Linked DNA regions of Caenorhabditis elegans. The protein of the gene in region 2 interacts with the protein of the main gene of each other region in a pairwise test. Each region holds a gene or a part of one and is shown on either strand. Other genes may lie near its edges. The genes, in order: prx-14 and M01E5.4.

Evidence for each region.
Region 1: the proteins of M01E5.4 (region 2) and prx-14 interact in a two-hybrid assay, tested with the Caenorhabditis elegans proteins (one large-scale study listed by BioGRID).

The regions. Positions count from the first base shown.
Region 1 is NC_003282.8:11,181,331-11,184,987, reverse strand, and holds prx-14 (Peroxisomal membrane protein PEX14), read right to left. Parts: upstream 1,857-3,657; 5' UTR 1,844-1,856; coding exon 1,587-1,843; intron 1,540-1,586; coding exon 1,257-1,539; intron 1,206-1,256; coding exon 969-1,205; 3' UTR 693-968; downstream 1-692. Other genes in the region: nuaf-3 (NADH dehydrogenase [ubiquinone] 1 alpha subcomplex assembly factor 3), read right to left, coding at 1-6, 587-692; cpt-2 (Calponin-homology (CH) domain-containing protein), read right to left, coding at 2,172-2,255, 2,865-3,231, 3,284-3,657.
Region 2 is NC_003279.8:13,286,985-13,291,767, reverse strand, and holds M01E5.4 (uncharacterized protein), read left to right. Parts: upstream 1-2,225; 5' UTR 2,226-2,227; coding exon 2,228-2,474; intron 2,475-2,523; coding exon 2,524-2,822; intron 2,823-3,605; coding exon 3,606-3,812; 3' UTR 3,813-4,215; downstream 4,216-4,783.

The DNA.
Region 1 (3,657 bases), on a different chromosome or scaffold from region 2:
GTACACCTGTCAAGTTAAATATATTGTTTTTTAGAACTATTTTTTTCAATTTATAATGAATAATAAAATTGTAGCTAGTGGTATTACCCATACACGAAACTTTGCGATTCTTACCGGTCTCGACACGGCAAATTCTTGTTGAGTGCAAGAGGGTGTGCACCTTTAAAGATTACTGTAGTTTCAAACTTTCGTTGATCATCATGATGTTGAATTTTTATCAATTTTTCATAGTTTTTCTATAAAGATATACACATTAATTTATGAAAAACTTAAATTTTACAATAAAAACACATAAATTTTAACAAATCTTGAGAAAACCTACGAAAAATGGAATAAAATTCTTAGAAATGAGAGTGGGAATTTACAGCACTCATTATTTAAAGGAGTGTACTTTTTTGCATTAAAAAAAGTTTTCGTGTCGAGACCGAGTACCGTATAAATAGCTTCGTGACTGCAGGTTTGATGAATTGGAAAAATATCAGAAATCGAGTGTTTACAAATTTTTGCCGAATCCAAAACGGAATAAACGAAAAGTAACGGATGCTAAATAAATACATTTTTTATTAGTCAAAAAACCTAAAATTACCAGTGTCTGCCCGATTCGCATCTCCTCCTCCTATCGTATTTTTTGATGAACTGCTCAGAAATCGACGAGCTGTCTGTGCTCCGAGAGCAATCAACGATTTGTTCATTATGCCTAAATAACAAATGTTTATTTCATGCAACACATTTTTATTCTGATAATTTATATCTGGTTTCTCAACCATTTTGTGAAATGAAACGTTCAGATGTCGATATGATTTTCTTTCGTAATATCACAGATGAAATTAACAATCTTTGGAATGTGGCACATGAAAAATGAAAAGGCACAGTGAATTGATGAGAAATCACAGAAAAAGGGAATGGCTTTCGAGGAGTGCATTAAAAATGATTAATTTAATTATATATTTACATAGATTTCTGAAATTCTATTCAATATTTTCAATATCTGCCAACTCGTCAGCTAATGACGATTCTTTGAAATTGGCTGGAGGAGTTGCATATCCGGAAGCTGCTTCAGAAGTTGTAGTTGTGGTGATTGATGTTGCAGAAGTTGGAGTTGCACTCTGCTGCCATGATGGAATTGATGAAGTAACACTAGGTGTTACGATTGGAGCAAAATTATGTTGACTGAGAAGTAAACTTTTTATCGTGGAAATTCCGCTCTGAAAATTATTGAAATATTAGCATTACAAAAACCATCTTCTAGAATTCACCTCAACCCGATTCAAATCAGCATCTCTGTTAGCAACTGAGTAGAGGGCTCTTGAAATTTCTGATTGTTGTGTTGCAAGCTGTTGTGTTGTTTGCGAAACAGAATCCATTATGAATTTTATTGAATTCTGAAGATCGTCGACTTGTGATTGCAGTTGACGAATTTCCTCTGTTGCTGGATCAGGAATATCGAAGAATCTGGGCAGAACATATGATCGGACGAATCGATATCCAGCATATGAAATCGATCCAAGTACCACAGCTGATTGTGCAAATGATACTATTCTGAAATTTGCGGTGATATTTTGAAATCAATAATTTCATTTACAAACCCATTCTGTTTTGGAGCAATCATCATTTGCGGATGACCTCCTATTGGAATCATATTCTCTGTTCCAATTTGACTTCTCAACTGCTCCGGCGGAATAGATGCTCGTGCTTCCAAGATTTCAGCCTCACTGACTCCTTTTCCTAATAAAAACTGTCGTTGTTCTTCAAATGGAGTCTCTTTAACTTTTGGAGTTAGCATAAACTTTCTTGCTGCTTCTACCATGTCCGGTCGAATCGGGGAACTAGATGGGTCAGTCATTTTCAACCTGAAGCTTTAAAATAAAAGTATAATACATATGGCAATAAATTGAATAATCTAAAAAATGAGTGAAAATCGATAATAAAAGGTTTGAACCGATAACAAAACCATCAATGAATAATCAAATAATCAAACATTGATTTCCCGATTGATAAAAATTTATCACAAAAATTAACATTTACAATGTGAAAGCAAGAATTTTTTGAAACTGAAAATACTCGTTAGGTTAAAATCTGGCAGAAACCGCGAGGAAAAATTACCCTAAAATACAGAAAAATGAATATAAATAAGTAGTTTACACTATAAATACATAAATGTCATCAAACAATTATTTCGGATCGAGAAGGTGACCACGAAGAATGTCCAAACTCTTGTAAAGAGCATTCGAGAAGGCGGCAGCGTCACGTTTCGACTGAAAATTTTATAAAGATAAGATGTTTTCAAATTCTAAGAGATAAGATAATAACCTGAAATTTTCGAGTTTTTTTTGTCAAAAATACGGTACCTGAACAAGATTTTTCTAATCTCAATTTATTGATGTTTAGTTTTATTTCGATTTTTATATAATATCTGATAATATTTATATTCTTAAAAAAGTTTCTTTTTTTTCCATATACTTTTAAAAAACTTCTAAATATTTCTATTTTTTGACTAATTTTTTTTTCAAAAAAAAATTAGACAATTTTTCGGGTATCAACAAGATAGTTTTTTTTATTAAATGCGAAAAGCTGTGCGCCTTTAAAGCTCTTAGGCTTTGGAATTTTAATTGACTTTTTCTTTGTTTCTTACGATGTGTTCAATGTTGCAACATATTGTTGTTTTTATTGGTTTTTTTTTTCAGTTTTTTTGCTTTATTTTTTTTAAATATACATATATTTCTTATCGAAAAAATGATTAAAAAATTCCGAAGCAACGAAAGTTTGGATTTAGCAACAAAAAAAAGGTCGCGTCGAGACCACTACCGTAATTTTGACGCAAAAAGTATAAAATTTAGCGTCTGGGTAATAGAGAAATCACGAACCTTATTGCTCGAAATAACGGCTCCGAGTTTGTTGGGAACAACGTTGTATCCAATACCGAATCCATCTTGCACAACTGGTCCGAATCCTCCGAAGACAATCGTATCCGTTGACAAAGTGCTCGTTGAAAGTACAAAATGACCCATTCTCGTGTATCCTGGATCTTGGAAGAAATCTGGAGTTGGTTGGCTCAATCGTTGAGCTGTGATTTTGAGGCCGAGCAAATGTCGATCATATCCTTGTCCCATTGATGCTTCTTTTACAAGTTGGAAATGTTGTGTGGAGCAATCAGTCAATAGTTGTCGAACATCTTTACGATTTTCTTCAAGAATAGCCAAGGTGGCGGCACGCGTAGCTGATGTTGCCGATATGAAAATTGAGTTTTGAAACTTGATATTTTAATTCTGAGGAATAAGCTTACCTCATGCATTCAGTTCTTCCCTTCAAGAAAGCAGCAGTGGAACATGACTCATACGTTGGAACAAACTCTTTGTACAAAGAATAGAATGCCATTTGAATAGCAAGCTGCATCACAGAATCCGGTGACAATTTAGTTTTCTTGATCAAATCTCTGTTGAGTCCTTCGAATTCCATTGTCGCAAAATCAAGATCAGAATTTGCAGAGACGTGTTTCTTCTGAGCATCACTGATTTTAGATTTGAGAGAATCCGTGAGCTTGAATTCGAGTGCCTGCACATGTGCTGGATTATGAGATTTTGGAGTGTCGTCTGGAGATACAAAATGATTTTTGTTGGTATCCTTGAATGATTCTTCCATTAAACGAAGCACGGCAAC
Region 2 (4,783 bases):
ATAAGAGAGGCGAAGGATTGTAAAGTAATAGTGGAAAACAAATGAACATGATTGAAGAATTGGAGAAAATACGCAGAAATTGCAGGATTTCGAGGGAAAAAAAAGGTAAAATAGTTTTTTTTCTCGATTTAGAGTCAAAACACCAACATAATGTTTATGAATATCGGTTCTTTTTAATTTTGGTCCTATTTCAGCAGCAAAATCTGTAGAAACTTGGAGCTTATAAACAGAAAATATACCTACATCAGCAAAAAAACTATCGAAAAAATCCAAAAAGTTCTAGAAATCTCAAAAAATACATACGAATTAAGTCGCTCCGACACGGGCAAATTGATAAATTTTGAAAATTTCAACTACACATAGCCTTTTTTCTCAAATATTCATTTAAATTTGATACTTTGGGGGCATTTTGAGACAGAAATTCCAGCAAACTGAAGGGTTATATTCGTAAAACTCGGAACATTTCAGATTCGTCAAATCTACGAAAACCGAGGCCAGAAAATAACATCTCCTAATATTAAAAATTGACTTTTGACACCAACTAAATCATCATTTTTCAAATCAATAATTCTCAAAGTCCCTCAAAAAATACTCATCCAACTTTCTTCCATCTACTGAATCCATCCTCCTAGCACGAAGGTCATCTGCACTATTTACACCCGGTGTGCACTTTCCGTCGCCTGCTCCCTTCTCTCTCACGGGCGGCATCATATCTCTCGCTTCTCTGCGTCACTTTGGCGCCCGGTGCCCGCGAATGATGTATGTGCTCCTTGTGCCATAAGAGGGCTGATTTAAGATCTGAGCAGAGGGAGAAAGAGAGAGAGGAAACGACCACGCAAAAGCTAGAATCTCTAATTCAACACGGCTTCTGATTGCTCAATGATTCATCAAAAGAGGGAGCAGGGTTCAATTTTGCTGTTCAAGGCCGGAGATTCGAGTTTTGCAGCTGCAATGGCGATTTTTTGAACGAGAAAACCACAGTGAACCCCTTAAAATTTTTTTATCCACAGAAGAAACTAGTATATGCCCGAAATTCGAAGAAAAATATTCAAAAAAAAGCACATGGATTCGCAATTTTAATTCTTTCGAGGTAGAATCACAAAAAATATGTTTTTTTTTTCAGAAAAAAAAATGTTTAAAAAGTATGCCTCTGTATTTATGAAATTAGCGAAAATACTTGAACCTGTCTAGTCTGAATTGTTTGCTGTGTCATCTTGACCCAAGTGCACACACACACTCGTACAGTGGCGAATCAATGAGAATGACATACTTTTGAATTTAAAAAGATGAAATATGTAGATTATAACACCAGAAGACGAAGAGTTAAACCGAAAATGAGGAAAGGAACACAAATTCATATTTAAAAAATGAGGTATTTTACGATTAAATAAGTAATTCGCTTCAAATAGGTTTTCAAGAATCTTAGAAATATATTGCTCCACATACCGCGTTCTCACTGTGCTAAATTTCATCATAATTAATAATTAACACAAAACACAAAAATTACGCGGTTTTTGGGTAAATTTGTACATTTCGGCATCAAAATCGCACCAGAAAATTCAATTTCACCTACGAAAATCATCGAAAATCACTCAAAATTCATTACAAGCAACAGGATTTGAAAATAATCGATATCGAGTTTTTTGAGGCGTTCCATCAGAAAAATGTCGAACATGTTCACTTTTTTCACAAGTTTTCGATGAAAATCACTAAAATTTTAGGCACAAGTGGAGAAAAATACGGGGAATTCGATAAAATAAACGAAAATACGCAAAAAATCGGGCGCAGGTGCCCCAGAAAGGGTCCAAAAAACTGCAAAATCTGTGGTGTTATTTCGTGCCAGACAGTGAGGCGATGCGGTCGCGTCGCGTGCTCATGTGCGGTGGAGCGAACATGCTGATCAGGTGTTCGTGACGATTTTTTGCGAGTTCCCAACCGATTTTCGAGGATTTTTTTTTTTTCTGTTGAAATTTAGAATTTTTATTTCAATTTAAACGTTGAAAATTTTATAAATTAAAGGTGAAAACTATGGAATACATGAAAAGTTCTCATACACCCAATTAAAATCATTTTTACCCTTAAAACAATTCTTGATTATCGATTAAAACTAAACGTTTTCCCACTACATTTTCGTACTTTTCCTGCAATTCCAAGTGTATTTGAAGCTTATCAGTCAGTATTCTCCATTCGTACCGAAATTTCCCCTATAATTTTCTTATTTTCAGTAATGACGCGACCACATCAGCCAAGAATAGACTTAAATCACGGATTTCTTCGATTTATTAGACGCAATCAAGTTGATCGCGATGAGTACAATCGAGTACATGAAGAAAGAAAATCAGAGATTCGCGAACGAATTGGCAGCAGTGATAGTTCACAGGATGGTGAAGAGAAAGCTCAGTCGAACGTCTATGTTCCGCCACACTTGAGAAGGCAGAAAAAGGAAAATGAAGAGAAATTTTCAGCTTTGAAAGGTAATTAAAGCAAGTTTTTCCAGGAATATTCTAAAAACTCCATTTTCAGCTTCCCGATCACAATCCCAATCAGACACTGGTTCAGAAGAAGGCGAAGGAGCATCAGGAGGCGGTGAAGCCAGTTGTCCGATTCAACAGAAACAGAAAGCATTTGATGAAAATGTACGGAGACAAGTACGCCGAAGAATCGAACGAACTCACCCGACAGTCGATGATATTTGCATAGTATTGGCCAATTATAGCCTTCAGGAAGCCGCTTCAAAAAATTCAGAAAATTCGAATGAAGACCTTTTCGAGTTGGTTTTGACGCTGAAATCCGGAGAACAGAAGACGATTGGAGTGCCCAGGGTACTGCTTTACTGCTTCACCACTGGTTAGAGGGGAAAAATAAAAAATCTCATGTTAATTAGTTTTTCCCGTTATTTTTTGATATTCCCATCACTTATTTTTCGGTCGGTTCGGTTTCATCACGAGTTTTTGGATGAAATTTAGTCTTAGACCCCCCCCCGCCGCTTATCAAGGTGATACGATTTATGGCTTTTGTTCCCCACTACGTGAAGATACTGTTTTTAAGAAAATCGATAGAATATTTCGATTTTTTTGTGGTTTTTTGAGTCAAATTCAAGGTTTTTTGGGCTTAGTTTAGGTTTTTAAAAACCAAATGTATAGAGTTTAAGCCAAAACTAGCGGTTTTAAAGTAAAAATTGCGATTTTACAGCTAAATTTAGATAATAGGGTTCTTAATGCCAACTTTTGAGAATTTTGAGCTTAATTTAGGGTTCTTGAGACAAATTTAATAGTTTTAAAGCCAAATATAGAGGTTTTATAGAAAAATGTCGAAATTTTAAACCAAATTCAGGGTTTTAAATACAGATTCAGTGGTTTTAGCCAAGTTTACGGTTTTGAGCTAAATTTACAGTTTTGAAGCCAAAGTTAGGGAGTTTTAAGGGTTTTCAAACTAATTTAGCGGTTTCATACCAAATCTAGGGGTTTTAAAGCCAAATTATGCATTATTTGTGCAAAATTTAAAGCTTTTAAAACAACATTTTGGCTGTTTTAAACCAGTTTTACTAGTCTAAAGTCAATTTTTGAGATCTTATTAGCCAAATGAATAAATTAATTTAATTTCAGAACACACAAGCCGCCCGTCTCGCGAAGTCTCTTTCCCGCGAACATCATTTTTCGGACTCCCAATGCAGAAATTTGCGAATTTTCATTGAAGAGCAACTCGAGCTCCGATTTGCTCGTGAGAAGTCAACTGCCACGTCATCAGATGCATCGATTCCCGGCTCTCCGACGTCTTCATCGGAATCATCGATTATAGAGTTTTCTGCTTGAAATATCAGAGCTTTTTGTGTGACTGTGTTACTGTGTTGTTGTTGATGTTGCTCGGCTTAAAATATTTTAATGTAATTTTTAAATTTGTGTTAAGAAAAAATCAAGCTCTTTTTATATTCACTTTTTAAATTCAAGTTTTCTGTTTCTCTTTTCTCTGTCGCTCTCTTTGTCATTTGTTCTCGATTTCCCTGTTTTCTCGTCATTTCCACATTGACTGGTGCCGTTTTTTTGTACTTTTTATGTCGAAATTAGGCAAATTTTAGGCCTGTGATCGTGTTTTTTCTCCTTCTGTGTTTTTTTTCGATATACTCGCGCCATCATATCGATTTTACTTCTTCGGTTTCCTCTTTTTTCGAATTTATTTTAATTTCAAATATTAGTTGTAATGAATAGATTGCAAGCTTTTCGGCCGCCACCTAGGGCGGCCATTTTTTTTTTTTTTTTGAATAATTTTTTCGTCGTTTCTTATCGACTTTTTCTCAAATATCTTTGCACTTTACCGTTCTTTTTTTTGCGTTTTACCCCACAATTTTCGCCTTATCGCACTTGTTATCGTCCTATCATGACCACACTTTTTTCTCTTTTTCACGAGATTTTTCACTCTCTGTTCCCTTTTTTGCCCAATTTTTCCCCTCTGCTGCAAACGACGCTCCAACATTACGGCATTTGTGTGTATGTGGTGGAGACGACGAGAGTGACACTCATGTCCTCGGCCTCGCGGTTTTGCAGGAATTGATTGATTTTAGGGTGGCAAATCCTTCGACTTTGTGTAGAATTTGGAGAAAATTTTGGAAAATAACTCTAGAAATTGTCAATTTTTCCATTTTGAGCTCACGTTTCTTTAAATTTCTGATAATTCCACTTTTCCCGATTTTTTTTTTGGCTCCTCGTTCTCGAAATTTTTCCTCGATTTTTTAAAAATGGGTCTCGCTGCGAAAAAGTTTATTTACCTGTCTTAAGGTATTAATTTT